Linked DNA regions of Macaca mulatta. The protein of the gene in region 2 purifies or fractionates together with the protein of the main gene of each other region. This does not show direct contact. Links are inferred from orthologs where the notes say so. Each region holds a gene or a part of one and is shown on either strand. Other genes may lie near its edges. The genes, in order: MRTO4, GTPBP4 and NSA2.

Region 1 (10,649 bases), on a different chromosome or scaffold from region 2:
TGCCCGCCACTATGCCCGGCTAATTTTTGTATTTTCAGTAGATAAGGGGTTTTGCCATGTTGGCCAGGCTGGTCTCAAACTCCTACCTCAGGTGACCTGCCTGCCTCAGCCTCCGGAAGTGCTAGGATTACAGGTGTGAGCCACCGCACCCGGCCCAAAACCAGCTGTAACAGTGAAAAGGAAGTGCTCTTCAGTGGCAGGTAGCACTTTGTCATTATTAAGGTGTCAGTGGCATGACCCAGGCACCTAAAGGGTCAGAAATTGCTCCTATACTTTGACTGAGAGCAGCCTGGCCGGGTCCCCACTCAGAAGGGCCTTCTTCCCCCTGCCCACTCACCGGCTGTGCTTCCAGGCATTCCGGATGTCCTTCAGCTTGCTGTTCCTCATGTTGGCCACAGAGAAGATGAAAAGGTACTTGTAGGTGTCCACACATTTCCGAAGCTGTGGGACAATTCACCAGGCTCTGAGTTCAAGCAGCAGTATACAATGGGCACTACTCTGGCCTCAGATGAGAATGAATCTGCTCTGGGCCCCTGACAACTATGGAAACTGGAAGAACTGGAGGCCTCTAATTGGGTTGTCTCCTACCTCTATTACTGAAATTAGGATCCCTAACTACAGGGGAGGCTGAGCCATGGATCTAGGATCCCTAACTACAGGGGAGGCTGAGCCATGGATCTATACCCCACGGCCTTTTCCAGGTTTCTCACTTATCTATGACCAACAGTGGAACTGACCATCAACGGTTAACCTAGAAACATTCACCCACACTACGAAGGGTCCTGCTACGTGGAAGCATATGGAGCCTCACTGTTATAAGGGGAGGCAGCTGATCAGCACTGCTCTGCAGGTGGTGCTGGCCAAAGCCACCAGGAGGCAGCCTCCAGGAGTGGAGTCATTGTGCAGAAGGAGACTGTTTCATCCAGCCTGCAGCCCAGGTTGGCAAGTCAGAAGCTGTACAGACAGTGGGTTGGTGCAGTCACCTACACCTGGTAAATCTCCCAGCTATTTTTTTTTTTTTTTTTTTGAGACAGAGTCTCGCTCTGTCGCCGGGGCTGGAGCGCAGTGGCCGGATCTCAGCTCACTGCAAGCTCTGCCTCCCGGGTTTACGCCATTCTCCTGCCTCAGCCTCCTGTGTAGCTGGGACTACAGGCGCCCGCCACCTCGCCCGGCTAGTTTTTTGTATTTTTTTAGTAGAGACGGGGTTTCACCGTGTTCGCCAGGATGGTCTCGATCTCCTGACCTCGTGATCCGCCCGTCTCGGCCTCCCAAAGTGCTGGGATTACAGGCTTGAGCCACCGCGCCCGGCCAGCTTTTTTTTTTTTAAAGACAGGGTCTCACTCTGTTGCCCAGGCTGCATACTGCCATGTCCAGCTAGCTTTTTTTTTTTCTTTTCTTTTTGTAGAGATGAGGTTTTGTCATGTTGTCCAGGCTGCTCTTGAACTCTCAGACTCAAGCTATCTGACCACTTGGGCTCCCAGATTACTGTAATCCCACGCTGGGATTACAGGCGTGGCCCACCGTTCCTGGCCTCCTCCTGTTTTTTGTCATTGGGCAGGCTAACAAACCTCTATAAGCTTCAGTGACCCCAAATGCAAAACAGCAACATCATCACCTAGTACCCACATCTCAGCGATGTTATGAGGATAGAGTAGAATGACACATAAGAAACACTTAGTGCAGGACAGGGCACAGAGTATGAGCTAGTCAAAGCTGGAAATCATCACTATGGAAGTTTTTGCTGGTGCTGCTGCTGGAGGAAAAAGGGCTGGATTAGCAGCTTGGAGATTTTTTTTTTTTCCAATAGTATGCTCCCCTGGCCAACAGTCCTATACCTACCTTGATAAAACGAACAATTGCAAGCTCTAGAAAAAGAAAACTTCTTACCTCTTCTATCAGGTTTTGTTTCAATTCCAAGCCTTTCTTGGCAGTTTTGGTTAAGGAGACTAATAAAAACAAAAAGGAGAGAGATGATGAGGGACCAATCTAGATGCATTGGACACTTATTTTTTTCTCCCCTTTGGCAGAGAGCTCAGTTGGATGCAGCCATTCTGAAAAAAGGCAGCAAGGCCTTCGTGGCCATCATTTCTGGCACACAAAGCCATTTCCAGGGCCCACGGAATGCCTACTCATTAGCATCCTGGCCCTGAAGATCTCTGGATATAACTCCTGCTATTTAGACAAACTAGGCCTTTCTTAGCCCCTAAGGCTCACCCAGAAAACTTGACTGCGGTGTGGGGGTGGAGACTGTTCCTGCCGCTGGGAGTGCTCTCAGTGGCAGACCTCACCTGCTGGCTGAGGCAGGCCCCTATTTATTTCTTTTTTGAGATGGGATCTCACTCTGTCACCCAGGCTGGCATGCAGTGGCACGATCTTGGCGCACTGCAACCTTGAGCTCCTGGGCTCAGGCAATCCTCCCACAGGATGACAGGTACACCCCACCATGGCCTGCTAATTTTGGCTGGGACCATAGAAATGCACCACCATGCCCAGGTGAGTTTTGTATTTTTGCAGAGATGGGTTTTGCCATGTTGCCCAGGTTGGTCTTGAACTCCTGGGCTCAAGAGATCTGCCTACCTCAGCCTCCGAAAGTGTTGGAATCATAGGTGTGAGCCACCACACCCGGCCCCTTGCTGCTCTTGACCATGATGCAGAGGCCACTCTAGCTGGCCTATGCTGTGCAACCATGAGACTGGGGACTGAATCTCCTGTTATGTATCTGCACTCCAGTTTTGCAACCTGGACCCACAGATGCAGCAACACCTCTCTGGGGAGGAATATGTACCTCTACTGTAAAAATGGCTGGGGCCCAATTTGCCCTCTACCCAGAGAGTTTGCATTTGCCAGACCTGACCTGGGCCCCCTCCACAGAATCAAATCGTTCCACAAACACTTAACAGAACTCCAACTGCAAAGCCCCGGGCGCCTTCACAAAGGGACCCGGGCCTCTCTTCTTTAACCTGCCCGGCACTCAGCCCCTCTTAACAAGGTACCACACAGACAAAGACACTGACATCAGTCAATGGTAAGTGGAGTAGAGGGGGGCAAACGAAATATAGCGGGCCACTTCCCATCATTTCCACTGTTACACCTTTGGCTCAAGTCAGCATCACCCTCTCTTGGATTAATGCTGGTCTCACTGCTTCCATCCCTGCCCTCTGCCCTGTCTTCCCCAACTATTCTCACCAAGGCAACCAGAGTGACCCTTTATAAGCAAAGGTAAATCACATGAGTCCTCTGCTACCCATTTCACCTGGGCAGGAAAGCCAATGCCTTACTAAGGCCGAGGAAGCCCTGCCCTCTCTGCCTAACCCCTCCCCCAACTGTATTTGGCTCCTTCTGCTCCAACCCCACTGGCCTCTTGTCCCAAACATGTCAAACCTGCTCCCACTTCAGAGCCTTTTCAGTTTACGTTCCCTCTACTTGCAACAGCACTCTTCCAGATAATTCCACAGGTGCACAATTCCACAGGTTGCTCGCTTCCTTTAATTTTGTTCGTCGCCTCATCAGTGAGACCTTTCCTGACCACATTATACAAAATATTGCCGTCTCTTCACCCCACTTTTACTCAATCTGATTTTTAGCATTTTGTGGAATGTGTTTCCCCTGAAACGTTAGGCTCGATAAGAAACAGGCCTTCTTTGTAACTGCTGTATCCTCCAACGCCTAGAAAGTGCCAGACCCCTGAATATTTTTGAGTATGCCAGGGAGTCGGGTTAAAAGAGATACCACCACAGCAAAGGTGGTCAAAAATGGTCTCTTAAGTGAGCCACTACGCTCAAGTCGGGCGTAGTTCCAGACCGCTTTGGCAACACACTGAAAGTCGTCTCTATAAAACAACAACAACAACAACAACAACAACAACAAAACCTAGCTGGGTGTAGTGGCGTGCACCTGTAGTCTCAGCTACTCGGGAGGCTGAGGTGGGAGGATCGCTTAAGCCAAGGAGGTCAAGGCTGCAGTAACTTATTTTTGAGACGGAGTCTCGCTCTGTCGCGCCCAGGATGGAGTGCAGTGGCGCGATCTCGGCTCATTGCAACCTCTGCTTCCCGGGTTCAAGCGATTCTCCCACCTCAGTCTCCCAAGTAGCTGGCATTACAGGCACCCGCCACCACGCCCATCTAATTTTTAGTATTTTTAGTAGAGACGGGGTTTCACCATATTGGCCAGGCTGGTCTAGAACTCCCGACCTCAGATGATCCACCCACGTTGGCCTCCCAAAGTGCTGGGATTACAGGCGTGAGCCACCACACCCGGCCTGTGGCGCCACTGCACTCCAGCCTGGGCAACAGAGCGAGACCCTGACTCAGAAGAGTCCTATTAACTGACAACTAAGAAGGAGCAAGCCATACGAAGAGGTAAGCATGCCAGACAGAAACAACCGCAGACACACAACGCCAGACACGAGAAAAAGCCTGTGCTGAAAGAAGGGAACGGGGAAAGGCAGCCAGGGTGGCGGGAGCGCAGGAAGATGAGAAAGGGCCGAGGTTGGGAAAAGTGGGCCGAAATGGCACCAGGCACAGCCGGGGGCGGTGTTCAGGAGCTGCCTCCCGGCCCAGTAGGCCTTGTAAGAGCACTTGAAACTAGGCAAGAGTCTCCGCTCCCCGGACCCGACCAGGCGTCAGCCCCCTCTGGCGGTTTTACAGCCTCGAAGCCCCCATTCCAGCTAGCAGCGAGGCAGCGGAACACCTCGAGGATGTCCTGGCGTTCTATTCTGCGCCCCCGCCGCCCCGAAGCTCTCACCGCAGGCTGGGCAGCCAACCCACGGAGGTCCCCCCAGGGGCCCAATGCCCCCTTTGCCCACCTTTCTTGTCGCGCTTGGATTTGGGCATCGCGCTGAATCCACGTGCGGCGGAAGACGGTGCACCCCTTTAGGACCCCGGCGGCGCGGGGGCCTCTGGGACGCCTCTCGGGGGCTGCCCCTCGCGTGTGCCTGACCCAGTGTGCACTGCAGCCTGCCTTTTTCTGCCGAGCCACCACCTGCGCTTTCTCCCGCGCCTGTAAGGCTACTTCCCGCGTGCCGAGGAAATCCCCGAATCCCAAGCGGCCCACCGAGGGCCTCGCACACGGTCCCAACTCTGTGGTCCCGCGGAGGCGGAGCCCGCGGCCCGGTGCATGCCGGGACGGCGGTGGGCGGTGCCTGCGCTCGCATCATGGCGGCTGAGTGGGCTTCTCGTTTCTGGCTTTGGGCTGTGCTGCTGATTCCTGTGGCCGCGGTCTACGAAGACCAAGTGGGCAAGTTTGATTGGTGCGTACGTGTAGAACATATTCGAGAGATAAGTGGCTGTTTCCACGGTACCTGTCTCCTGCCTGCTAAAGGGAAGGGGGTTGTCATGTAACAGGATTGGCCGCATAATTTGCAGGACCCAGTACAAAATGAAAACGTGGGGCGCCTTGTTCAAAAATTAAGGATTTAAAGTCGTTCGAAGCAGAGCTTTAAACCAAGTGTTACGGGTCCTTCTAAGCTGATCCTTGTGTGTAAGCCGGCCCTGCCATCCAGGCATGCTTGGGGTGCTGGTCAGAGGTCACTGATCCCGTTCTCCCTCGTCAGGTTCCATTTCTTTGACTGTCAGGTTTCTGGTCTACCAGGTGTCAGAGGTCGCCACGCCGTCAGTGAACTTGAATTCCTACTCGAATTGGTGTCTTGTAGGCATTTGAACAGGAGCTTTCGTCTTAAAAGTCCTAAACTGCACCCTTTTCCCCCTCTCATCAACCTAGTCTGGCCCTGGGCTCAGAGCAGGATTGCCCAAAACTCTGAGCAGCTAGAATATGCCATTCATTCCTTCATTCACCCACTCACGTCTTCCTTAAGGCCCTGAAGTAGCTTGCTTTTGTTTAAATTTTACCAATTAAGAGTTGTGTGATCTTGGGGAAAGTGGCTTAACCACTCTGTGCCTTTGTTTCTTTGTCTATACAATGGGTTTACTAACAGTCTGTTATCTATTACAGTACTTGTGAGAATGAATGAGACAGTCCAATTAAATTACTTAGAACAATGCCTGGCTCATTGAATGCAGTCATTAAATGTTACCTGTTATTATTGCTCTTTACACTTTATTCTTCAGGGCCCAGCTCAGATTTCTCCTCCTCTGAAGTATTTTCTGTCTTGAAAAAGTTGATTCACATATATGTTGAGTACCTGTTATGCCAGACAGTGTGACAAATGCAACATAAGTTAAATTTTTAATGATGTGCACAACTGTTCACAATGTCATATGTGTATATTACACATATATAGCAGGTGATATATATATCTAATGTTGCAGAATACTAGATATATGCAATTTTCTTTTCATGAATGAATGAATGAATGGCATTTCCTAACTGCTTAGTGTTTTGGGCAACTCTGCTCTGAGCCCAGGGCCAGGCTAGGCTGATGGGGGGGAAAGACTCCGTTTAAGATTTTTCTTTCTTTCTTTTCTTTTCTTTTTTTTCTTTTTTTTTTTAAGACGGAGTTTCTCTCTTGTTGCCCAGGCTGGCGTGCAGTGGTGCGATCTCAGCTCACTGCAACCTCCACCTCCTGGGTTCAAGCAATTCTCCTGCCTCAGCCTCCCGAGTAGCTGGGGTTACAGGCATGAGCCACCATGCCCAGCTAATTTTGTATTTTTTTGTAGAGATGAGGCTTCTCCATGTTGGTCAGGCTGGCCTCGAACTCCTGACCTCAGGTGATCCACCCGCCTCGGCCTCGCAAAGTGTTGGGATTACAGGTGTGAGCCACAGAGCCTGGCTAATAAACACCTCCGGTTTTTTTTTTTTTTTGAGGCGGAGTCTCACTCTGTCCTCCAGGCTGGAGTGCAGTGGCGTGATCTCGACTCACTGCAAGCTCCGCCTCCCGGGTTCATGCCATTTTCCTGCCTCAGCCTCCCGAGTACCTGGGACTACAGGCGTCTGCCACCACGCCCAACTAATTTTTTGTATTTCTGGTACAGATGGGATTTCACCATGTTAGCCAGGATGGTCTCGATTTCCTGAGCTTGTGATCTGCCCGCCTCGGCCTCCTGAAGTGCTGGGATTACAGGCATGAGCCACCGTGCCCGGCCACAAACACTTCTTATATGTCCTAAAATGAGTGTGATGGTGATAGCCCTGTGATTTGTTCTTTTCTGGAGCATTTTGTGGAATGGTGATTTTAGCTCCTTACATTCCCCTGTACTCTTTTCCTCAGGAGACAGCAGTATGTTGGGAAGCTCAAGTTTGCCTCCTTGGAATTTTCCCCTGGATCTAAGAAGTTGGTTGTAGCCACAGAGAAGAATGTGATTGCAGCATTAAATTCCAGAACTGGGGAGATCTGTGAGTGAACTGGGAACCGTGTCTACTGGCTGCCTAAGGGATGGAAGGCTCACCATTGCCAACTCTGCTTGGCTGATTCCTGAATAAGGGACATGTTGGCCAAAAGACGCCTCTCCTAGTGGATTTTGATACTTTTTTCAGTCTTACCATCTTTGAATGTTTGTATATTCCTATAACTGACCTTTGCAGTTTATTCTCTTAGCCTGAATCCTGAGTGCCCTTAAATAAGATATTGCTGCAAGCCCAGGCGGGAGGATCACTTGAGCTCAGGAGTTCGAGACCAGCCTGGGGATCACAATGAGGCCCTATGTCTAAAATTTAAAAAATTAGTCAGGCATGGTGGTGTGTGCCTAGAGTCCCAGCTACTTGGGAGACTGAGGTGGGATTCTTGCTTGAGCCTGGCAGGTTGAGGCTACAGTGAGCTGTCATCATGCCAGTTCACTCCAGCCTGCGCAGTAGAGCAAGACCTTGTCTCAAAAAAAGATGCTGCTGCAGAAAACACATTATTCTACTTTGCAGTAAACTCTCACATACCCTCACTTAATTACCTACACTGGCTGTGTAAATTAAGGCACTAAAATAATGGAAATAGAATTTATGATCACTATTTTTCTTTTTTTTTTTTTTTTTTTTTGAGACGGAGTCTCGCTCTGTCACCCAGGCTGGAGTACAGTGGCGCAATCTCGGCTCACTGCAAGCTCCGCCTCCCGGGTTCACGCCATTCTCTGGCCTCAGCCTCCTGAGTAGCTGGGACTACAGGCGCCCGCCACTGCGCCCGGCTAATTTTTTTTCTATTTTTAGTAGAGACGGGGTTTCACCATGGTCTCGATCTCCTGACCTTGTGATCCGCCCGCCTCGGCCTTCCAAAGTGCTGGGATTACAGGCGTGAGCCACCGCGCCCGGCCGATCACTATTTTTCTTATGACTTGGATGGATTTTATTAATCTTATTGTTGTTTGTTTATGTTTGATGGGGTGGCAGTGGGGCCTGGACAGTAGTGGCTCCTCTTAACCCCTTCTACCTTCATTACCCCGTGAATGGTACTGGATCACTGCCAGTTAACCATACTCCTTCACTCCCTCGAAATAAAGTTGGACATTGCAGTGCAAATGAAGAGCTCTTCATTTATCTCTTAGTCTTCTGGGTTGCCTCCTTCTGTTCACAGTAACATCTAACTTTCATGTCTCTCAGTGTGGCGCCATGTTGACAAGGGCACGGCAGAAGGGGCTGTGGATGCCATGCTGCTTCACGGACAGGGTAAGCAGAGTCCTCCTGTGTCTCCATTGTGTGGCCGGCTCCCTGTCCCATTCCTTGGCTCTGTCATCTGTACAGGATCTGGTAGGGAAAGGAGATGGGGGACTCCTGACAGTGAAGGACAGATACCTATTTAACATGTATTTGCATCCCGAAATCAGAGGTGAGGCCATTGCTCACAGTGGGACCCTAGGAGGCGACAGAACAATTGGGAAATGACTTCACCATGATCTTTTCTTTTCCAGATGCAATCACTGTGTCCAGTGGAGGCCGAATCATGCGTTCCTGGGAGACTAACATCGGGGGCCTGAATTGGGAGATAACCTTGGACAGTGGCAGGTAGGGGAGAAACTGGATTCTATCTTGACTGAGTTAAAGGATTTATCAGAACACAGATCTGCACAGACAGCAAGTCTGGGCTTGTGGCTTTTTCCCAGGGACCACTGGAGAGCCAGCCATTGAGTCCCCATTGTGGATATGCTTGCTCGGCCAACATGTATTGCCATTGAGTGCCCGTTGTGGATATGCTTGCTCAGCCAACATGTATTGAGCACCTGTTAGATGCAGAGTTTCCAGGTGCAGTGTTTGCGCTTGTGCTTGTGTGCTATTCCTAATTTCACTGTGATTTGTGAGTTTTGCAATGTTCCAGATAAAAGAACATAATATAAAACTTCCAATGTTTAGTTTTGTTTAAAGAATAACTTGACCTATTGTTACATCTTTGCTCTAGTTATTTATTTTTATTTATTAAGTTTTTTGAGACATAGTTTCACTCTGTCGCCCAGGCTGGAGTGCAGTGGTACGATCTTGGCTCACTGCAACCGTCGCCTCCCACGTTCAAGCAATTCTCATGCCTCAGCCTCTCCAGTAGCTGGGATTACAGGCATGTGGACTGTGCCTGGCTAATTTTTGTATTGTTAGTAGAGATAGGGTTTCACCATGTTGGCCAGGCTAGTTTCGAATTCCTGGCCTCGTGATCCTCCCGCCTCAGCCTCTCAAAGTGTTGGGATTACAGGCGTGAGCCACCGCGCCCGGCCCCTAAAGTTGTTCAAATGATAGGATCATTTGTATTAGCTTATATATCTTCTGATAGTAATTCATTTGGTAAACGTGTGGTGAGCCCCAGGCGATGGGAACACACGGGACTGTGAGACAGCTGCTGTCATTGAGGATTCCACTGTCCATTGGGAGGCAGGCAGGTAGCACAGTAATGACAGCACTGTCTGATGGGTATGTGGCAGAGGGTAGGTCCAGTTGCTGTGAAGTCCCAGGGGAAGGAGGGAACAGCCCTTAGGAGAAGTAGATGGTTTCAGGGAAGCAAGCAGTGTGACCACATGGTTGCAAGTGCAGAATCTCAAGTTGGCTAACGAGGCAGAGCCAGGATTAGGATTCGGCTGTGTTTGACCCCAAAGCCTGTTTCCTTACCCACCAAGCAACAGTGAGTACTGTTCTGGACTGTCTCTCCCAGCCTGAGGCTCTGCAGGTGTGGGCTGCTCTCAACCTGTACTTGTGCTCAGTTTCCAGGCACTTGGGCTGGTTGGCCTGCAGGAGTCTGTGAGGTACATTGCAGTCCTGAAGAAGACGACGCTTGCCCTCCATCACCTCTCCAGTGGGCACCTCAAGTGGGTGGAACATCTCCCAGAAAGGTAAGGCCGCCTGTGTACAGGCAACAGCTGCCTCGTCCTACTCTACGAGCTCCTCTTTCTCCTTGAGGGACCCAAAGCATTTGCTTTAACCCAGGCCTGTCTCTTGTTAGTATTGCATGGAGTGTGTTGCACTCACAAGATCTTGAAGGCTGTAAGTATGAGTGAGACTCCAGAGTATGCCTGGAGTTTCCTTTGCACTGAGGAGAACACTCTCAAACTGGGGCGCTAGGGCGAGCCATGCTACGGGAGCCACTCGCTTGTGGTTATGGTACTTTGTGCCTTCTGACTTCTAGTTCAAGTACCAGTTCTGACTGAGCCTTTCATTCATATTAAGAGTTAGAACAACTCAGGCCGGGCGCGGTGGCTCAAGCCTGTAATCCCAGCACTTTGGGAGGCCAAGACGGGCGGATCACGAGGTCAGGAGATCGAGACCATCCTGGCTAACATGGTGAAACGCCG
Region 2 (10,767 bases):
GGTGGGTATCTCAACCAGCTTGGGCTGCCATAACAAAATACCACTGACTGAGTGGCTTAAATAACATGCAATTTTCTTTTCACAGTTTTGGAGACTGGAAGGTCAAGATCAGGGCATCAGCATAGTTGGGTTCTGGTTGCAGCCTCTGCCTGGCTTGTTGAAAGCTGCCTTCCCTCTGTGCTCACATCGTCTCTCCTTGGTGCATGCATGGGGTCGGGGAAGCCTGGGAGCAGCCCTCTGGTATCTTTTCTCAGAAGTGCTCATAAGTATGCCAACTCCACCAGGAGAGCTCCAGCCTCGTGACCTTTTCTGAACCGAATTATCTCCCCAAGGCTCCATCTCCAAATACCATAACAATGGGGGTCAGGGCTTTCACATAGGAATTTGGGGAGACTCAATTTGGTCCAGAGCAGTGGGCATGAAGCATCAGAGAGAAACAACCAATGCTGAGATTTGGAGACTATTTGTTATCATAGGATAATTTAGACTGTCCAGACAGATACATTCTGATAGCAAATATTATTTTTATACCTCTATGCTTTTGTGAGGAAATAATATGTTTTTAATTAAAAATAATAGCGGGAAAGGCACTTAGCTTACTGTTAGTCTAGAAGTTGGTGGCAGGGCTGGAATTGAAATTTTAAGCCTCCTCCCTCTGGAAAACGGAAATTGCTAAAACATTATGGTTTCCTTGTGCAGACCTTCAAAATCAATTATTAAACTTGTGACAATAACGTCACATCATCAAAGTGAATTTTTTTCGCTGTTTTTAACCTGAGGGTCAGACATCACAACCACCTGCTTAACCAGCTTCCATAAACACCAAAGATTCAGATGTCTGTTGCAATATGAAACTTATCTTTGCTTATCTCGAGTATCTTTTTGGGTACAGCACAGAATGCTAATCTTAAGAAATTCTGCCTGCAGATATTTAGAATCGTTTGGAAATTGATCATACAAGCATAAGTACATGCATTCCAAATACGTGTATGTTTATTATTATCACAAATCTTCTCTAGGAAAAGAGATCGGAAGATTTCCATTAAACCTAAAATTGTTCCTTTAGGGAACAGCAGAATGCAAAGAATGTTTTTAACAGTGTGTCAATTGAATGACTCTTACTCAACCCATGGAAACAGCCCTTATCAGCAGCTCTGACGTGAGCAAGGGCAGAAGTTCATTAGCACAGGTGCCTGTCATGATGCACACACAGGAACGGAATTCTCACAGAAGAAACAACCTGTCTGCGTATCCAAACAGTGCTTTAGTGAAACACAGGTGCTGGGGGATTATTGACAGCATATGACCCCAAGTGCAATCCATCATGTACCTCCATGTAAATACCAAACAATTCATGACCAGCCTGGACAACACAGCGAAACCTCGCCTCTACTAAAAAATACAAAAAGTAACCGGGTGTGGTGGCGTGCACCTGTAGTCCCAGCTACTCGGGAGGCTGAGGCACTTAAATCTGAGAATTGCTTCAACTTGGGAGGTGGAGGTTGCAGTGAGCCAAGATCACACCATTGCACTCCAGCCTGGGCGACAGAGTGAGATCCTATCTCATAAATAAATAAACAAACAAACAAATACCAAACGAGGTAATAACCCTAAAGAGGTCAAGAACAAAGCCACTCTTGGCTGACAGTGCAAAAGGAGAGTGGCTTTGGAATTCCATGCTCCCTGGACTCACCTCCAGTTGTGTCTCTCCAGCTGTGTGGCGGTGAGCAAGCATCCAACCACATCAAAGCCAGCACTCTAATCTGTGAAACAGAGACAATCACACCCACCTCACTATGCTGTCCCGAGAAGGAAAGCAAGTGACCCGGCATGTGGTGGAGGCTCCCTGCTTTGCAGTTGTTAAGGTTCAACGAGAATTTAATGAACAGAACAAAAGTTTAGCAAACGTTATTGTAACTAAGTAGTTAATAAGAACATAGATAATACATAATAATGCGTAACAAATAATAGAGAATCTCTTTGCTCACTTATTAATGCCTGTAGAATAGGGTTAGTGAAAAGCAAAAATAATTCACATAAAGTATTTTTAACATGCCTGGTAGATAGTAACTGAGCAAAGAGTGAAGAAACAGAGGCTTGGTGAAGCTGATAAGTTTTCCCAGGATCAGAGGGGGTGGAGCTGTATCTCAGAAACGAAGCTCACACTCTTAACTCATGGTGTAATTCTGCAGAGAATGTCAGGCTGCACCTTTGGCCCAGAGGGTGGCTCTCATGCCACTGCTGCCTTCCACAAAGGAGGGTGTTTCCTTAGACTTCCCTGTTGACAATTTTCCTCTTTATGGCACAGTGTGGAGTTCTGACCCATTTCAGGGTTGTGCACAGGGTTCTGACGGTACTGTAATTCAGTAGGACTACTTGAGTATCGCAGAAGCCAGATCCCAACTGCTACAGGCCCAACTACATCAGGAACTTCCTCAAGCCAACATTCAATCAACAGAGTTCCATGGCCACTGCGAATGCTCTCGGCAGTGCTGCCTGAGGGGAGGGATGGCAGAAGAGTAAGACACAGTTCCTGTCCACGAAGAGCTGGCTACTTCCTTTGCAAACATGATGTACACGAGGAAGCATCCAGGTACAAAGCAGCATGTGACTCGTTCTGAATGAGTTCCTGTGGGGATCCAGGGAAGTGGCTGACGGGCCCGATGGAGCACTCTTAGGACCCTCTAAGACCGGATGGCTACTGATGGCTAATCCCCATGCAAAGGCTCCTTTCAGGCAGGAAGTTCAATTCTGCAAAATGTACCTTTCATTCATCAGAATTACAGCAACAAGAAGGTAAAACAGAAAATACCAAGTCCACAAAACAAAGAGATTTGAAAAACGAAGCTTTTCCCTGAGAAGTGCCTGGCAGTCAGAAGCTTTGCAGAGTACCCTTGAGAGCATCCTTTACTACGGCTGAGAAGTACCTTTCTCTGTCACAAGGTACACACACTCGGAGGCATCCTGGTAGCTGGAACCTCCGTTAACACAGTCAAGAATTGGCAATGTGCCTCATACTGCAGGCAGCGTTTCTGACTCTCCTCAGAAAGGCCTTTAGCGTTTGGTTTCTCCAGAGAAGCCCAGAAGTCTATCAATAGAGAAGCTTGCTCCTGGTGGTGTAGAACACACACTTGCCCCCAAGAAGCTATACTCAGCCAGAAAATCACAAGAATAGGCAAAAATGTTGATTCTTATCAACACGCACATGGTGTAGGATGCTTGGTACCTTACCATGGTCATAGCTCTGGGCCCATGATGAGCCATTATGGTTGTGCATTCACAGACATGCCTTTGTAGCTGAACAAGTTAAAAGCAGGTGGCTCACACCTATCATCTCAGCACTTTGGGAGGCCAAGGCCGGTGGATCACTTGAGGTCAGGTTTTGAGACCAGCCTGGCTAATATGGTGAAATCCTGTCTCTACTAAAAATACAAAGTGTTAGCTGGGAATGGTGGCAGGTGCCTGCAATCCCAGCTACTCGGGAGGCTGACGCAGACGAATTGCTTGAACCCCGGAGGCGGAGGTTGCAGTGAGCTGAGATTGTGGCACTGCACTCCAGCCTGGGTGACAGAGTGAGACTCTGTTTGAAGAAAAAAAAAAAAAAAAAAAAGAATTAAGGATGTTTGCCCATCTGAAGCAAAGTATCTAAATATCGGATTAAAAGAAAAAGAAAGAGGAACTGGCTATATCAGAGTGAGAGAAAGTGGGAGATGCTGAGGAAACATATAAGAACCTAAAAGAAAGGGCAGTAAGTATAAGCATAGCTTTGCTAATCTCGGAAATGGTGGCCAGAACTGTCCTGCGGCTTAGCAAATGATCATAGCCAGCGAATCCTAATTACCCTAGAAGCTTCCTTTAGAAGTGCCAGAGATGTAGGAGGTATGCTTATCCGCCTTGTGACACAAAAATGGAAGCATAGTTAATAGATGAGAAAAGCATGACTCAGAATGATTTTCAATATTGGAATGTTGGGAATTTATGAGAGGTATTTTCGTGTAAGAATAATAGGACTTATTTAAAAGGTTTGGAGAGTGGGGGGCATCCCAGATGCGTGAGAAGCAGTATAGCTAATCGTTAGAAGTAGGTTTGCTGGAGCCAGGCTGCCTGGGTTCAAAGCCCACCTCTGCTGCCCCTTAGCTGCACAACCCTGGGCTGCTTTCGAGCCTTGCTGTGCCTTGGGTTTCCCCACGCACTTCATGAGGCAGTTGCAGGAATTAAACGAGTTAATATGTAGTCAACAGCTCTGAACACTGCTTGAGTGAGTCAGCCCTACCTAACGTTTAATTTACAGGATGTGGCCCTGGGTTCCTTAAGGGAGCGGCCACACTATTCACAAACATTAAAGCAGTAAAGGCTCCATCCTCATCACCTTTCTCCTCTGTTGGACCCCACAGGACTGTCTCTCGAAACTGCTTCCTCCGCTCTCCTAAGGCACTCTGCGGAACCAGCGGCACCTCTTTCGCCTGAGATCAGGATTTCCCTTCTCCGCCCGTTTTGGGATTTAACAAGCACGAGAAAGGAGGGCTGCAGGGGAGCCGCGAGGGCCTCCTCACCACCGCCCGGGATCAGAGTGGGGGGTGTCACCCGCTCTACACCCAGAGCCCGGGCACACCCCGCACGCGCGGCTCCCTCCTCCTCGGCGGGGCTCGCCGCGACCCCGGACGCCCAGACTCCCGGATACCCTCGACCCTCCGGACTCCTAAGCCCCGCATCCCCCAAATCCCAAGACCCCCCTCGAACCCTGTTTCAGGGCGGATGGCTGGGGGCCTGAACCCGCTCCAGAAACCCGCAGGGCAGTCTGTCGGAAGCCTCTTCTTTACCCAGCATGAATTTAGTCTCCGCGCGCCCCCTAAAACCCAGGCGTCCTCTCCCCCGCGCCCTCGCTCCCGGGGCCCTCACACACTCTCCGCGGCGGACCTCCAGGCCGGGCGGGTGCGCTGTGCGACGCCGAAAGCGCCATAGAGCACGCAAGACACGCTTGGCTCCCGGAAGTGACGTACAGCAAGCGCCCGACGGCGGAAGTCCCTCCTGCTCCCGACGGCGGAAGTTCCGGGAGTGCCCAGTACCCGCGTGCATACGGCAGCCGGCATGGCGCACTACAACTTCAAGAAAATTACGGTGGTTCCGTCCGCCAAGGTAGGTGGCTACTTTCGCCTTCTCATTAGCGGGGTCTCAGGGGAGGGTCCGGGCCTGTAGCCGTGGGAGAGCGGTCGCCTTCCGCTCGCCCACCACCCGCTCCCGGGCCCGACCTGCCGGACGGGTACTCGAGATCATTTCCCCTCCCCCAGCAGAATCCGGGGTCCACCAGAGATCGGATCCCCCAGAGACCCGGGTCCACCTGAGACCGGGGTCCACCCAGAGACTGAGGGCCCCCAGAGATCGGGGTCCACCCAGAGTAGGGTTCCCTGGAGGGGCTCCGGGTGACGAGGTGGGCGAGTGGAGGGGACCCCAACATGTGAGGGAGGAAGCACTCCGTGGTCCGTGATGAGCCTTCAGATTCTGGATTTGGCGTAGCCCCCTCCCCTCTCAGGAATCCTCGGTTCGTTGCTATCGTGATTTAACATTTCTTAATTTTTAAGTCATTCTCTTTCACTGTTAGATTTGGGAACCCCTGTTCTTTTTAGACCATAGTAGGCCCAGACTAAATTTTTACAGCGTTGGTTAGTGTGGCAAGAATGAGTCAACAAGTGTTAAGTGTTAGAATTTTTTTTTTTTTTTTTCCCCGAGACAGAGTTTTCCGCTTTTGTTTCCCAGGCTGGAGCGCGATCAAGGCTCACTGCAACCTCCACCTCCCGGGTTCAAGCGATTCTCCTGCCTCAGCCTCCCGAGTAACAGGGATTACAGGCGTGCGCCACCACGCACGGCTAATTTTTGTGTTATTAGTAGAGACGGGGTTTCACCACGTTGGCCAAGCTGGCCTCGAACTCCTGATCCCAGGTCTCCCAGGGAGATCCCAGGGAGTTCGAGATCCCTCGAATTCCCGCTCCGGCCTCCCAAAGTGCTGGAATTACTGGCGTGAGCCACCACACCCGGCCCTGGTATTACGACTTTTAAGAAGTCATGTTTTTATGTAGTGAACATTCGATTTGGGCCGCAATTACAGAGACATTGACGGGCAACTCGAGCCTCTCAGGGACTGCTGCACAAGAGGGAGTTACTGAAGTCCCTGCAGAGTGACTGTTTTCCTCTCATCAGTGTCTCCTTTTCTTCACGTCTTAACAACGGAATGAGCTTGCCTTGGAAAGCTTTGTGGGAGTCTCGTATTTTACCTTCATAGCAATAATTGTTTCCCCACTTCTCTCCATTTCTCATTTCTTCCTGACAATTGTTCTGACACATCTCTTGATAGATTGTAGTATTTTCTTTCTTTCTTTCTTTTTGAGATGCAGTCTCGCTCTGTTGCCCAGGTTGGAGTGCAGTGGTGGATCTCATCTCACTGCAGCCTCCGCCTCCGATTCAAGTGATTCTCCTGCCTCAGCCTCCTGAGTAGCTGGGATTACAGGTGCAGGCCACCAGGCCTGGCTAATTTTTGTATTTTCAGTAGGATGGAGTTTCACCATGTTGGCCAGGCTGGTCTTGAACTCTTGATCTCACGTGATCCACTTGCCTCAGCCTCCCAAAGTGTTGGGATTACAGGCATGAGCTACCGCGCCCGGCCAGATTGTAGTATTTTCGAGTGCAGGAATCATGTCTTATTTGTATTTTTGGTCAGCCATCTCTCAAGTTTGTTGAAGGAATTTGCTCTTTGGATTACATGAACTTTGTTCATGTTATTGACTTATGTGGAGAACTTTAGGATATGTTAGTACACCATCCATCTTCTGTGGAATGAGATTTGTATTTTTAGAGAACAGATGAGTTTACACCTAAAAAATGGGTGATGGTAATTGTTTGGTGATTGGAAGTTAAAAAAAAAAATCACATCAGGAAAGTGTGTGGTATTCAGTTCATTCTAGAAGCTGTTAAGTGAGTGCCTGTCCTATGCATTGGGTACTGTGTTACAAAAATGCATTAGATAAAATACCTGCCTCTTTGGAAGTCGTTGTCAAGAGGGGTAAGTCGAGGCCGGCGCGGTGGCTCATGCCTGTAATCCCAGCACTTTGGGAGGCTGAGGCGGGCAGAGCACAAGGTCAGGAGATCGAGACCATCTTGGCTAACACGTTGAAACCCCGTCTCTACTAAAAATACAAAAAAATTAGCTGAGCGTGGTGGCAGGCACCTGTAGTCCCAGCTGCTGGGGAGGCTGAGGCAGGAAAGTGGCGTGAATCCAGGAGGCGGAGCTTGCAGTGAGCGGAGATTGTGCTGCCACTGCACTTCGGCCTGGGCGACAGAGCAAGACTCTGTCTCAAACAAAACAAAACAAAACAAAATAAAAAAGGGTAAGTGGCATCATGAATGACCATACTAGAAATGAAACATTGTTATCATGGAGGACCCACATGGATTGGGAGAGAAGAGTGCGGTTAGCTGTGGTAAGTTGGAGAGTCAGGGGCAATCTTATGAAGTAGGTAACCTTTGAACTGGTCCCCCTTCAGGATGTGTGAACGCCATTAGGTGCAGAAAAATGTAGGGAAGATCTTCTGTAGGCCCAGAGGGAAGACCGTGTGTGCCCCTCATAGTACATGGAAGACTGTTGTGACCACCTGTTTACTTGTCTCACTTGTAGACCCAGAGGGGAGACGGTGCGTGCCCCTCATAGTATAATACTTGGCAGACTGTGTTGTGCCTACGTGTTTACTTCTGTCACTGGACCCTGAATTCCGTGAAGGAAGGGACAGTATCTTGTTCATTATCTTCAGCACCCAAGTATCCTTAACAACCTTTGTTTGAAATAATATTGAGTTAATCAAATTGTTGAATTAATCAAAGTGTTCAAGAAAAAAGATCCAAGTAATTTTGTGTGACTAGATACACTGGATTGAGGAATCCTGGGAATTGGATCCTTATTAAAGAGAAGTGCTGACTCTTTGCACTGGGCAACTCATGCAAAAATCCTTCATCTCCTCAAGTAGTTCCCTTCCATGCTCTTAGGAAATTATGAAGTGGATTTTAGTTTTACCTGTTATTTTATCTACTTTCAAAGTCAAAGATATGCATAAAGAAATGGGAGGATTGTTTCTTTTTCTCAACTATTTTTTCTAATTTATGATTTGAGTTCTCTGATTACTTAAGTTTCAAAGGTTCTTAGGTGTTTGGAAATTAAGATAGCATCAAGAAAGTGTGGCGTAAAATTTATCTTAGCAGCCGTGTGTTTGAAGATGAACAAGGTTGTACATAAAATGTTTAGAGTAAATTTTTGTAATTTAAAATATGTAGTACTGTAATTAGTGTTTTAAGAAGGTTTCAAATAAGTGGATCAAAAGTAGACACTTTTGATGTAATTATGTTTTATTTTCTTTAATTGCAGGACTTTATTGACCTGACATTGTCGAAGACTCAACGAAAGACTCCAACTGTTATTCATAAACATTACCAAATTCATCGCATTAGACATTTTTACATGAGAAAAGTCAAATTTACTCAACAGAATTACCATGATAGACTTTCACAAATTCTAACAGATTTCCCTAAATTGGATGTAAGTGACTTGGGGGACTTCTGTGGTTATGTAAATATGAGCCTTCAGAGAATCAGTGTTTAACCAGTTTGGTGTACTCATTTGACAGAAAAGGAAACAAAGTAAATTACTTAGATTACTCAATAAGTTAGTGGCAAATAACTAATTTGTTGAATTAATAAAAGTGGGAACAGAATATGGGTTTTTTGATTCCCTAGTATTCTTTCCTCCAACTAAACCCCATCTAAGGAGGCCCGAAGCTCTCTTCTCAGGCTTTCTGTGTAACCCCTGGGCTTACAGGTGCCAACCCAAGTGGTAATGATAGCTGTGGGTTATGAATGCAGAAGCTGACAGCTCACTGGTTGTTTGGGCTTCATCTCCTGCACCCTCTTTCCAAGGGTTTTATTCCTCTGGGCTCAGCTTGGGTGAGTGGTGTAAACTCCACCACTGTTTGTGATCTTGTTGCTTCATCAGCTGATGACAGTTCAGCACTGACTGTTTTCTTCTTTGGCAAGAAGAGATCACGTGGGAGCTGTGACTTTTGAATGAAGCCAGAAACCTTGAGCTCCTTTCACTGCTGCACATTGCAGTTTGCCTGTTTTGCCTGTTCTATTTCTTTTTTTTTTTGAGGCTGAGTCTCTATCGCCCAGGCTGGAGTACAGTGGCGTGATCTCAGCCTGCTGCAGCCTCTGCCTCCTGAATTCAAGCAATTCTTGTGCCTCAGTCTCCTGCGTAGCTGGGATTACAGGCGCATACCACCACGCCTTGCTAATTTTTGTATTTTTAGTAGAGACGGGGTTTCACCATGTTGGCCAGGGTGGTCTTGAACTCCTGACCTCAAGTGATCTACCTGCTTCAGCCTCCCAAAGTGCTGGGATTATAGGCGTGAGCCACCACGCCCGGCCTGCCTGTTTCTTTAGCTGTAGAAAAGTAAGAGCAGTGTCTGCTTGGCAGGCACTGCTGACAAAGCCTCATGACACCACGCATGGGGTAATGTGGTTGCAAGGTTATTTGAGGTTGTGAAGGGTGCGGGGATCAGCAGTATAGTCTCAAAGCCTAAATCCGCCATTGCCCCACAATAGTTGCTGAAGGCAGATGTAAGCAGAGGGAAACATTTGGCTTCTGTGACAGTACTTCATATTTAAACAAGTAATAATGGCTTTTTTTTTTAAGCCGGGGTCTTGTTCTGTTGCCCAGGCTGAAGTGCAGTGGCACGACCTTGGCTCACTGCAACCTCCACCTCCCGGGTTCTAGCGATTCTCCTGCCTCAGCCTCCCATGTAGCTGGGATTACAGGTGCCTGCTACTATGCCTGGCTAATTTTTGTATTTTTAGTTGAGACAGGGTTTCACCATGTTGGCCAGGCTGGTCTCAAACTCCCGACCTCAGGTGATCCGCCTGCCTTGGCCTCCCAAAGGCGTGAGCCACCACACCCAGCCAATAATGGCTTATTTTTAAAATACAGAAGTACTTAAAATAAAATGCAAAAATTCTTGCTAGAGGACAGACACTTAGGTTGCATCTGTCTAGGATTTGACACAGTTGCTCAGTAGATGTTTGTTGAATGAGTGAATGGTTTCTTGGGAAAGGTCAGGTACTAGAGAGTACCTGGGGGTGAAGAAAGTGATTAAGAATATGTTTCGATTTTTTTTTTTTTTTGAGACGGAGTCTTGCCCTGTTGCCCAGGCTGGAGTACAATGGCATGATCTCAGCTCACTGCAACCTCCACCTCCCAGGTTTGAGCAATTCTACCGCCTCAGCCTCCCTAGTAGCTGGGATTACAGGCATGTGCCACTATGCCCGGCTAATTTTTGTGGGTTTTTTTTTAGTAGAAATGGGGTTTCTCCATGTTGGCCAGGCTGGTCTCGAATTCCTGACCTCAGGTGATCTGCCTGCCTCGGCCTCCCAAAGTTTTGGGATTACAGGCATGAGCCACACTGCGCCTGGCCAAGAATGAGATTATTCTTAACTGATTTGATATTAGGAAGCACTTGATTTTAGCAAACAACATATTTTGATCTACTTAGTATCAGATTTTTGTGGTTCTTTTTAAGAAGTTTTATCTTTTTCTTCCTCAGTGTTATAGCCATCAGAGGTAGGAGAGTTCAAATGTATTAACATTCTATTACTTCTTTCAAAGCCAGGACTGGTTATCTGAGAACAGCTTCAGAGTGGAGGGTTAGTGTAGGGTTAGACACTAAGTCGTCATTC
Region 3 (10,779 bases), on a different chromosome or scaffold from region 2:
AATCTGTGAAACTACAGAAAACCTAGAGTAGCCTGACTTGTATATTCTCTCCCTGTAGAACTGGTAAGGCTACCCAAATATATTCAGAATATGAATACGAAACCAAAACAAGTCGATTCCATGATATAATCCAGAGGTGGGCAAACACTTTGTGTAAAGAACCCAAAAGGTCAACATTTTAGGCTTTGCCAGGCCATATGGCCTCTGTTACAACTGTTCAATTCTGGGGGTGGGGGTTATGCAATATGTAAATGAACAGGCATGGCTGTGTTCCATTAAAACTTTATTTACAGAAACAGGCTGTTTGCCAATATTTTAATCTATTAAAAATTACTCAGGTTGGCCAGGCGCGGTGGCTCATGCCTGTAATCCCAGCACTTTGGGAGGCTGAGGCGGGCAGATCACAGAGATAGAGACCATCTTGGCTAACATAGTGAAACCCCATCTCTACTAAAAATACAAAAAAATTAGCCAGGCATGGTGGCGGGCGCCTGTAGTCAGTCCCAGCTACTGCGGAGGCAGGAGAATGGCGAGAACCTGGGAGGCGGAGCTTGCAGTGAGCTGAGATCTCGCCACTGCACTCCAGCCTGGGCGACAGAGGGAGACTCCGTCTCAAAAACAAAAACAAAAAAAAATAGGTTGAACACTAGGATTTGGGCATGTTGCAACTTTCTTCTCTCTGATACTTTGTTTTTTTGAGGCTGTGTATCTAACTGGGAGAATAGTTCAGTCTCTTTGAAGGGATTTTGCAAAAATACATCTTCAATTATGTTTCTCCCCGGGGTGGGGAAGTTTGGGGTCATATTACTATTGCTGCCTTCAATAGAAATTAAGCTATATTAAATTATCTTCCTTTTTTCAAAGATTTTTTTTTTTTTTTTTTTTGAGAGTCTTGCTCTGTCCCCCAGGCTGGAGTGCAGTGGTGTGATCTCTGCTCACTGCAAGCTCTGCCTCCCAGGTTCATGCCATTCTCCTGCCTCAGCCTCCCAGGTAGCTGGGACTACAGGCGCCCACCACCATGCCCGACTAATTTTTTTGTATTTTTTTTTTCATTAGAGACGGGATTTCAGTGTTAGCCAGGATGGTCTTGATCTCCTGACCTCGTGATCTGCCTGCCTCAGCTTCCCAAAGTGCTGGGATTACAGGCGTGAACCACCGCGCCTGGCTTTTCAATGATTTTCAAGAGCATTTGGATACTTTCCTTACCAAACTGAAACTGACTCTTACAAAACAGTCCTAGTCAAGTTTTCGAACTGTTGTCAAAGACAAGAAGTGTTTTGAGACCTAGACAATATCAGGCATATAGCAGATCACTAGTTGAATGAGAAAATATGAAGAAAATGAAGATTCTAATATGTCATGTTTAAAAGTCAGAATTTACTGACAATGTCTTATGACAGTTTTCAAATCTCTTACGAAGCTGAAAAAAAAAAATATATATATATATATATATTTTTTTTTAGACGGATTTTTGCTCTTCTTTCCCAGGCTGGAGTGCAATGGTGTGATCTCGGCTCACTGCAACCTCTGCCTCCCAGGTTCAAGTGATTCTCCTGCCTCAGCCTCCCTAGTAGCTGGGATTACAGGCGCCCGCCACCACACCCAGATTACTTTTTGTATTTTTTAGTAGAGATACGGTTTCACTATGTTGGCCAGGCTGGTCTTGAACTCCTAACTTCAGGTGATTCACCCACCTCAGCCTCCCAAAGTGCTGGGATCATAGGTGTGAGCCACCGCACCCGGCTAAAGATTCTTAACTAGTGGAAAAAGTACTAAATAACTTCTATCACTAACTTAAAATAACAAAAATAGCATAAAAATATCTTCCAATCTGTTCCACATCAATTTAAAGAATTTCAGGAAATTATAACGTTCTTTATCCGATTTAACAAAGTGAACTAATATTTCAGTCATTACACTCTTCCAAGGACTTACCATTGGCCTGATAAATCTTTCATATTTAGGTGGTTTTCTTGTAAAGCCATCTCCAACAAAGCACACTTTAGTAACCATCCTCTTCCATGCTTTCTTCTTTCTCTTTCCTGTTCGAACAACTTTTAATACTTCTGTTTCTCCCTGGGCACGTACTTTAGGCAGAGGGACTTCCCATTTTCCCTAAAAATATGCCACAGTTAAAAGTTTACATTGTTATTAAAGGACAATGAGAATAAGTCAAGTATGTTTTAGTTGTACAAAGCAGTAGATCTATTTTTTTTTGCTTAACCATCATTGGCTCAACTGTTATTCTAGAGTTCTGTATTGTCTCATAAGCTGCAAATTAAACAGAACAAGTTTATATATCATGGGTACATTAAATAAATGGTTGACTTAAGCTAAAAATCTTATTGCTGTGTTATGGGTGAGAAAATACCACCTGTAATGTGGTGGTAATTTTTTTTTTTTTATTTTTTTTTTTTATTTTTTGAGACGGAGTCTCGCTCTGTTGCTCAGGCTGGAGTGCAGTGGTGCGATCTTGGCTCACTGCAACCTCTGCCTCCTGGGTACGAGCAATTCTCCTGTCTTACCCTCCCGAGTAGCTGGGACTACAGATACACACCACCACACCCAGCTAATTTTTGTATTTTTAGTAGAGGTGGGGTTTCACCACATGGTCAGGCTGGTCTTGAACTCCTGACCTCAGGTGATCCACCTGCCTCGGCTTCCCAAAGTGCTGGGATTACAGGCGTGAGCCACTGTGCCCAGTCGATGGTGACTTCTATAAGCAGTGTTATGTGTTTACTAATGTTTAACAGCCTAACACTGGACGAGTGTTTCCACCTCTTGTCTCTGTATTTCTTCCTGAAATGGATTTGTAGATTACATTAATAGTAAGACAAAGTCCTCACCAGATGTTTTATGCCTCCCTTGAGTGCAAATTCTATGAAAAAAACTGAAGTAGTGTAAGGCAGTAGAAAGAATTCTTTAAATATAGATACAGTATATTCTTTTATCTGGATTTCTGCTAATCTATTCACAGATGTTTTAAAAAGCCACATTTTTTGTGATAACTCAGGGAGTTTTCCACCATTCTGCTTTTGAACCAATTTTGGCACTACAGGACAGCACAAATAAGAAGCATTTGTATTTTTCTTTATGACTGCATAGCACTGTGGGTTTTCAAACAGGAAGACAAATATTGAATTTGAAATTCACTCCTTATCAGCTTTTTAATTTCATATGGCATTCTAATAATTTTTTTAAAACTTAAATTTTAGAACCTTATGATGGGAAAGCAAGTTTTTTTTATTACTAAATTTACAAAGACCTCAACATCTAAATAATGGGAATAGCTGTACTTCATGTTTGAAATTAAACCAAGAAACAAGAACCTCAAATTTGAATTTAAGTAATTCTCCTAAACAAAACAAAGACTTCAATTGTTATTGCTTACCGCCTTCTCTTTTCGTTTCTGTTTAATCATATTGGAAAGTACTTTAGCTCGAGATTGTCCCTCTCTGTCCAGCAGATAGGCAGGTACTGCTCCCTGTGGAGTCTTTTCATCATTCTTTTGTTTGGTGTTTCTCTTTTCATGCATCTTGATACTACCAAGAAGGAAAAAAGATTCAAAATTACCTGTTTTAATAATGATGACTCAAAAGATGTTAACTTGTCATGACAAATGAGACCACTTACGTCTTCTTCATTTGTATTTTTTCAGCATGGCGCTGTTTATGGTAAAGCTTAGCTTTCAGACCAATCATTTTCTTTGCCTTCTTTGAACGTTCATGAGCCTCTCGACTTTCCTTCTTTCTCTTTTTCTCATGGTAATCCAAACGGTATCCATAGCGTTTACGGTGTAATTCAATATATTCGTTCTGTGGCTATAATGATGCAAGAAATGTTATTTTAGTTTTTAAAAGTACTGACAATTATTCTAAAATGCTTGCTTTTACACAGCATAAAGACCCTGTTTCATCCAAATGTTCACTTACTTGAATGATTATTGCACCATTAAGTCTATTCACATGATGTAAGTTAAATTTTGATCTTGAATGGTATGAGGCATCAGGGCTTACATTTCTAATAATCTCAGTAGGGAATGTTCCAAAATCTACTGGACCACAAAAGGGATGAACTGATTACAGTATCTTTTTTCCTTGATATAATTTGCTTTTTAAATAACATCTTCATTTCACATTAAAAAAATTTAAGTTAGTTTTATTGAAGCATAATTTACACACAGTAAAATCTGTTCTTTTTAGGCATACAGTTCTAAGTTTTTTTTTTTCCCCCCTTTTCTTTTTTGAGACAGAGTCTCGCTCTGTCACCCAGGCTGGAGTGCAGTGGTGTGATCTCTGCTCACTGCAAGCCCCGCCTCTCGGGTTCAAGCCATTCTCCAGCCTCAGCCTCCGGAGCAGCTGGGACTACAGGCGCGCCCGCCACCGCGCCAGGCTAATTTTTTGTATTTTTAGTGGAGATGGGGTTTCACAGTGGTCTCGATCTCCTGACCTCGTAATCCGCCCGCCTCAGCCTCCCAAAGTGCTGGGATTACAGGCCTGAGCCACCGCGCAGTTCTACGTTTTTACTAACTACACAGTTCTGTAACCACCACAATCAAAATAGAGAATTTCTATTTCCCCCTAAAATTCCCTATGTCACTTTGAAGTCAATCCTCTTTTCCAACCCTCAATTTGATACCTATCCCTAGTTTTGCCTTTCTCAGAAAGAAACAGGGATCAACAGTAGTACATAGCCTTTTGAATCTGGTTTGGGATTCACCCAATTTGTTGCAGGTATAGGTACTTCAATTCTGTTTATTGTTGAGTAGTATGCTATTGTATGGATATACCACTGTTTACCCACTGACCAGTTCATAGGTATCTGGGTTGTTCCCAGTTTTGGCTGATTACGAATAAATCTGCAATAAACTGCATGCAAGTCTTCATGTGGACATGTGTTTACTGCCAGACCGTTTTCCAAAGTGCATTATTTTTCATTTCACCACCAATGTATGGGACGCTTTTTGCATTTTAGACACGTTTTATTTTAAACACGAGACCAGGCGTGTCTATTCGTATTTTAAGGCTGCAAAAATAAAAATGATACAAAGCCAAGTCCAGCACAGAGAACAGTGTTAAGTAACAAATAGCAAGGCGTGCTGCTACCAACTGCTATCATATAAACTTTGCAGCAATCACATGAAGGGTGTATGGAATGCCACTTCGCAAAGAAACGCAAGATGATAGAGACGTAACAGAAAGAGCATGGATCTGGCAGTTAGATCTGGGCCGTTAAGTCCGGCTTCGCAATTCATTAGCTGTCTGGTCTTCGGCAAGGACCCCTTCATTTTGACGCCTTCAGTTTCCTTAACAGTAAAATGAAAGGGGTGGGATTAACATCTAAGATTGTACAAGGCACAACCATATTCCCATTAGGCTCTGGTGCTGATAACCATGCTTGTGGTGAAATCAGTAATTTTTAGGACTCTTAGTGGTGGAGCAAAAAGAAAAAAAAAAAAAAAGAGTAAAATCTTGCTCCAAAGCTTGTGTTCTGGCAAATACCCTCTGTGTCTCGAATGTGAAGTTGTTTTCACTCCTTAGAGCGCACCCCACGGAGTCCACCATCCTTTTCCCTTAGCAGTTTTCATTTCCGCCTACCACCGCTCACCCCCTGCCCCAGCGTCCCAGAGCCCTCAGGTCCCACTAACTCAAACGCTGTATGTCGCGGGCGTCCGACGCATCCTCCTTACCATGGTGACGGCCGCAGGGCCGCCAGGAGCAGCCCCTGGGGTGCGAAAACGCTCTCAATTTTCGGGGCTCAAAGACCCACAAGCCCACTCCACGCAGGCCGGGACAGGAAAGGGTCGCCCTTTAAAACGGCCGAGTGAAGAGCAAGAACCACGCAGCGGTTCCGAGCCTCCGTTTTCCGCTTTTAGGTTAAGAGGACGGAAGTTGCTGGCAGGCGGCATTTGGCCGGTACACCGCCGGAAGTGCGGAGGTGTGGCTGCTTGAGGCGGCAGAGCGGAAAAATCCTAGCTTCATTTCGTTTAGGTACAAGGCCGTTTGTCTAGGCTGGTGTGGAGACTTGAGGCCTTTGCAGACTTTGGCGCGGCCCGCGCCTCCTGCTTCAACAGCCCAGCGGTGACGAGCTGGCCTGCGGCACGCGGCCTAATACCAGGTGAGTACTGCTCCGAGCTGTGAGACATTGCACGCCTGTGACCCTGTCCCGCGCTGGGTATTGCTGACCTTCCAGGCTGCGACAGACACAGCCAGCCACGGAGGAGGACAACAAGGCCTCCGGACTCCCCTCGGTGTTCGCTCAATATGGAAGTTTTTCTCTATCATTCGGCGAGGGGGACTCATCTTTGTTCCGGTCACACTGTAATGTGTGCACGATTGTGAAGGATGCTGAGGAATGAAAACTTAGTGTACAGAAAAATAGAACTACTGGGCCTTTGCAACTGTTAGAAAAGACGAAGATAACATTCTGTTTTTTTTTGGAGGTACAGGACTGATTCCAGAAATTTCTGAGGCGTTTTGGTGCACCGCATCAAATGCTAAGTGAGTGGACTTGTATTTAGTGGCCCCCTAGAGGCCAAGAAGTAATTCATTACAAGAAAAAGTACGTCTGCTTGAATACACTGTCAATTTTACCCTTTTACTGCACAGTTGCAGAAGTTCCTTTAATTACTTCACAGCTTGTACGTGATTCAGTTGATGAACAAAAAGAACTGTACCAAAAGAATACTTTCATTAATTCTTAGTGCTTGGATTTGAGGCAGTATTTTGTTTTTGTGGGTTTTTTTGAGACGGCATCTCGCCCAGTCGCCCAGGCTGGAGTGCAGGGGCGCGAGCTCTGCTCACCGCAGCCTCGACCTCCCGGGATCAAGCGATCCTCCGAGTTCAGCCTCAAAAGTAGCGAGTTACAGGCTCGTGCCACCACGCCTGGCTAATTTTTGTATTTTTTGTAGAGACGAGGTTTCACTATGTTGCCCAGGCTGGTCTCGAACTCCTGGGTACAAGCCATCCACCCGCCTCGGCCTCCGAAAGTGTTGGGATTACAGGCGCGAGCCACAGCGGCCGGCTTTGAGGCAGTTTTTGTTTTGTTTTGTTTTGTTTTGTTTTGAGACGGAGTTCCGCTCTTGTCGCCCAGGCGGGAGTGCAATGGCGTCATGTCATCTCACTGCAACCTCTGCCTCCCGGGTTCAAGCGATTCTCCTGGTTCAGCCTCCCAAGTAGCTGGGATTATAGACGCCCACCACCACACCCGGCTAATTTTTTTGTATTTTTAGTAGAGACGGGGTTTCACCATGTTGGCCGGGCTGGTTTCAAACTCCTGACTTCAGGTGATCCACCCGCCTCGGCTTTCCAAAGTGGTGGAATTACAGGCATGAGCCCCCGAGCCCGGCCTTTGAAGCAGTTTTTAAGGCTCCATTTTCTAAGGTGATATCATCATTCTCTTTAAAACCAGAAATAATAACTAGCATTTGTATATTTTAGGTACAGTACGTTATATAATCTCTTTGCCTGTAATGCACCCCTCCCCGCCGCCCCCCCCCCCCACCCCCCGAATTTCCTCCCTCATCTACTCCAGGTCTTTGCTTAAATGTCACTATTTGAATGAGGCCTTCCTTGATCTCTTTACTTCAGTTCTAACTGTCCCAATTCTTCTTTCCTGCTTAATTCTTCTCCACAGCACCTATCATCATAGGAGAGACTATGTGTTGTATTTGTTACTTTTGTTTGTTGTCTCTATCCCCTGACTAGGATAGAGGCAGTATGAGGGCAGAGATTGTTGTCTTTTGTTCACTGCAGTAACGCTAATATCTAGAAAGCAGTGGGTAGACAGACATGTAGTAAATTCTTTTTGAATAAATGGGAAGGAATAGGCTTGGGCGGGGGAGGGCTGGGTTATGCAAATTATCTTTTTATTGACAACCACTGAGTTAAAGTAAGAAGAGGAAAATGTCTATTAAATGTCTATTACAGTCGTAACTGTAGAGAGACTATGAGGCCCTGAACTTTGGCATTACCCATGAAGAGGGAATGGATTCAAGGCTGGGCATGGTGGCTCACGCCTGTAATCCCAGCACTTTGGGAGGCTGAGGCGGGCAGATCACTTGAGGTCAGGAGTTCATTACCAGTCTGGTCAATATGGCGAAACCCCGTCTCTACTAAAAATACAAAATTTAGCCAGGCGTGGTGGCACATGCCTGTAGTTCCAGCTACTCGGGAGGCTGAGACAGGAGAATTTGCTTGAACCCAAGAGACAGAGGTTGCAGGGAGCTGAGATCGAGCCACTGCATTCCAGCCTGGGTGACCCTGTCTCAAAAAAAAAAAAAAAAAAAAAAAAAAGGAAACAGATTCAAATATGTTTAGGAAATCAAATGAAAGTATTAGATGACTTTCTAAATAAGAGTAGTGAATGTTTCTTAGCTAAAATCCAGAAAAGAACAGACTTAGGAGTAGTAATGAGTTTTGACATATCTTCTTAATAACATGGATCACAATGGTTTAACACAAGTGTGTCTAATCTTTTGGTTTCCCTGGGCCACACATAAGATACACTAATGGTAACTAACAATAGCTGATGAGCTAAAAAAACATTGCAAGAAAAAAAAACTCACAATATTTTAAGAAAGTTTACAAATTTGTGTTGGGCTGCATATAAAGCTATCGTGGGCCGCATGTGGCCTGCAGACCATGCGTTGGACAAGCTTGGTTTAACGTGATCTGTTTGTCTCCCCAGCACCCCCAGTCTCAGCTGCGTCCTTAGATTTCTAATAGCTTTGATATTGTACTTGAAACGTAGTGAATATTTAGCAAATGTTTTTAAATTAAAGATGCTTAGTTTCTATAATCAGAGAGGAAGAGGACTTTTATATATTTTTTACATGATTTAGTTTTTACATGTTATGGTAGGAAAATCAGAATATACAAATGAACCAGTAAATTTTACTGCCAATTAGAAATTACCAAGTGTGGATTCTTAGTTTTTATACTTAATTCTATTCATTTACATAACAATGCATTTTGGTTGATACAGTGTTTTGTAATTTCAATAAGTTGATTTCTAATGTATCTCCATGTCTTTCTTTAAACATTACATTAACAAAAAGGGACATTTTAAGCCTAAGAACCATATTTCTCATATTTAATCAGAATTTTCATTTTCTGAATGATGCATTGTATTTTTGGTAGCTAAAAATATCATTCCAACTTTTTAAAAGTAATAGATTTTACCTTACATATGTCTAACTTACATATGCCTTGCTGACATGTAATACATAACTTTAGTTTTATAATTTTGTATATTTATTTTTTCAGACAATAACAGTTTGGAGGATCAAAATGTTGAGCAACTTGAGGATATGTGCAGTGAGTCATCAGACAATATCCAGTGTGCATATTAATGTAAGCATTTCTTACAAGATTAAATGTCCTTTAACAACCTCAGCTACTTTACTGCCTAAAATGCCCAGTATATCTCATCAGCTGTTTATTCCAGACTTAGTTGAGTCATAACCTTTGGAAATCTTCAAGCCAAACTAATTTGAAAGTAATTGCCTTAATTTATTAAGAAATATGAGAGGAAATTACCTTAATTTAAAAGTAAAAGAACAGCTGTAGCTAAATGCTGGTCTCATGGAGTACTAAAATGCCAGTTGTTTTTGAAGGAGGGTACAGTTTTATATCTAAGAATGTCATCACTTAATGTACATCTTTAACAGAAAATGTGCTTTGTAATGTTAAGTATCCATAGATTAAGACTCTTATGAAATAAAGTTTCTCTTAATATCGAAGTATAACATAATTGTACAATGGTTGATAAAACTACTTTTGGCTGTCTTCTGCAGAGCTGTTGGAAGCCAACTTCTTGGGCAGTCTGATCTTTGTCTCAGGAACATTGTTTTAGTCTTTAAGCTCTGGTCTGACTCCTGAATCCTCTCCGAAACACTATAAATTATTTTATGAACTATCGCGTCTTCAGTATACTTCAGAGTTATTAAACCTCAAACGTAATAATACCCCTTTTATCTAGTGCTAAGTGAAAGATTACTTTAAAGCTTGCTTGGGTTATTTCTTTTTATCTTCAGTGACTTAACAGGGAGTACAGTAGTTTCCCCTTATTCATGGTTTTGCTATTAGCTGTTTCAGTTGCTCAAAGTCAACTGTGGTCTGAAAATTAAATGGAAAATTCCAGAAATAATTCATAAGTTTTAAATTGTGTGCCATTCTGAGTATTGTGATGAAATCTCATGACATCTCACTTAATCCCACCTGGGAGGTGAGTCATCCCTTTGCCCAGCATATCCACACTGTATACACTCCCCACCCATGAGTCAGTAGCCGTCTGGGTTATCAGATTGTGGTATTGCCATGCTAGTGTTCAAGTAACCTTTATTTTACTTAATCATGGTCCCAGAGCACAAGAGTAGTGATGCTGGCAATTTGGATATGCCAAAGAGAAGCCATAAAGTGTTCCCTTTAAGTGAAAAGGTGAAAATTCTTGGCTTAATAAGGAAAAAAAAAAGTCATATGCTGAGGTTACTAAGATCTATGATAGGAATGAATCTTCTATCCGTGAAATTGTGAAGAAAAAGACATTTTTGCTAGTTTTACTGTTGTACTTCAAACTGCAAAAGTTATGGTCACATAACATGATAAGAGGTTAGTTAAGATGGAAAAGCTATTCAATTTGTGGGCAGAAGACATGAACAGAAACATGTTCTGATGGACAGTAATTAGGTTCAGTACTATCGGAGGTTTCAGTCATCCACTGGGGGTCTTGGAATATACCCCCTGTGGATAGGGTATGACTGCTGTAGTGGAGAACCTG

The links.
Region 1: the proteins of GTPBP4 (region 2) and MRTO4 purify together in Homo sapiens (affinity purification with mass spectrometry; 3 studies listed by BioGRID and IntAct, counting the BioPlex papers as one, with this or other methods). This does not show direct contact. The link is inferred for Macaca mulatta from reciprocal best matches to the Homo sapiens genes GTPBP4 and MRTO4.
Region 3: the proteins of GTPBP4 (region 2) and NSA2 purify together in Homo sapiens (affinity purification with mass spectrometry; 3 studies listed by BioGRID and IntAct, counting the BioPlex papers as one, with this or other methods). This does not show direct contact. The link is inferred for Macaca mulatta from reciprocal best matches to the Homo sapiens genes GTPBP4 and NSA2.

The regions. Positions count from the first base shown.
Region 1 is NC_133406.1:221,719,042-221,729,690, forward strand, and holds the start of MRTO4 (mRNA turnover protein 4 homolog), read right to left. Parts: upstream 4,979-10,649; 5' UTR 4,833-4,978; coding exon 4,805-4,832; intron 1,947-4,804; coding exon 1,888-1,946; intron 442-1,887; coding exon 338-441; intron 1-337. Other genes in the region: EMC1 (ER membrane protein complex subunit 1 precursor), read left to right, coding at 5,154-5,248, 7,166-7,290, 8,482-8,547, 8,790-8,883, 10,062-10,190. UniProt on the Homo sapiens protein: Component of the ribosome assembly machinery. Nuclear paralog of the ribosomal protein P0, it binds pre-60S subunits at an early stage of assembly in the nucleolus, and is replaced by P0 in cytoplasmic pre-60S subunits and mature 80S ribosomes.
Region 2 is NC_133414.1:1,643,803-1,654,569, forward strand, and holds the start of GTPBP4 (GTP-binding protein 4), read left to right. Parts: upstream 1-5,061; 5' UTR 5,062-5,088; coding exon 5,089-5,136; intron 5,137-8,407; coding exon 8,408-8,578; intron 8,579-10,767. UniProt on the Homo sapiens protein: Involved in the biogenesis of the 60S ribosomal subunit. Acts as a TP53 repressor, preventing TP53 stabilization and cell cycle arrest.
Region 3 is NC_133411.1:81,141,110-81,151,888, reverse strand, and holds the start of NSA2 (ribosome biogenesis protein NSA2 homolog), read right to left. Parts: upstream 5,728-10,779; 5' UTR 5,693-5,727; coding exon 5,690-5,692; intron 3,822-5,689; coding exon 3,634-3,821; intron 3,543-3,633; coding exon 3,392-3,542; intron 2,116-3,391; coding exon 1,936-2,115; intron 1-1,935. Other genes in the region: GFM2 (ribosome-releasing factor 2, mitochondrial), read left to right, coding at 9,291-9,353. UniProt on the Homo sapiens protein: Involved in the biogenesis of the 60S ribosomal subunit. May play a part in the quality control of pre-60S particles.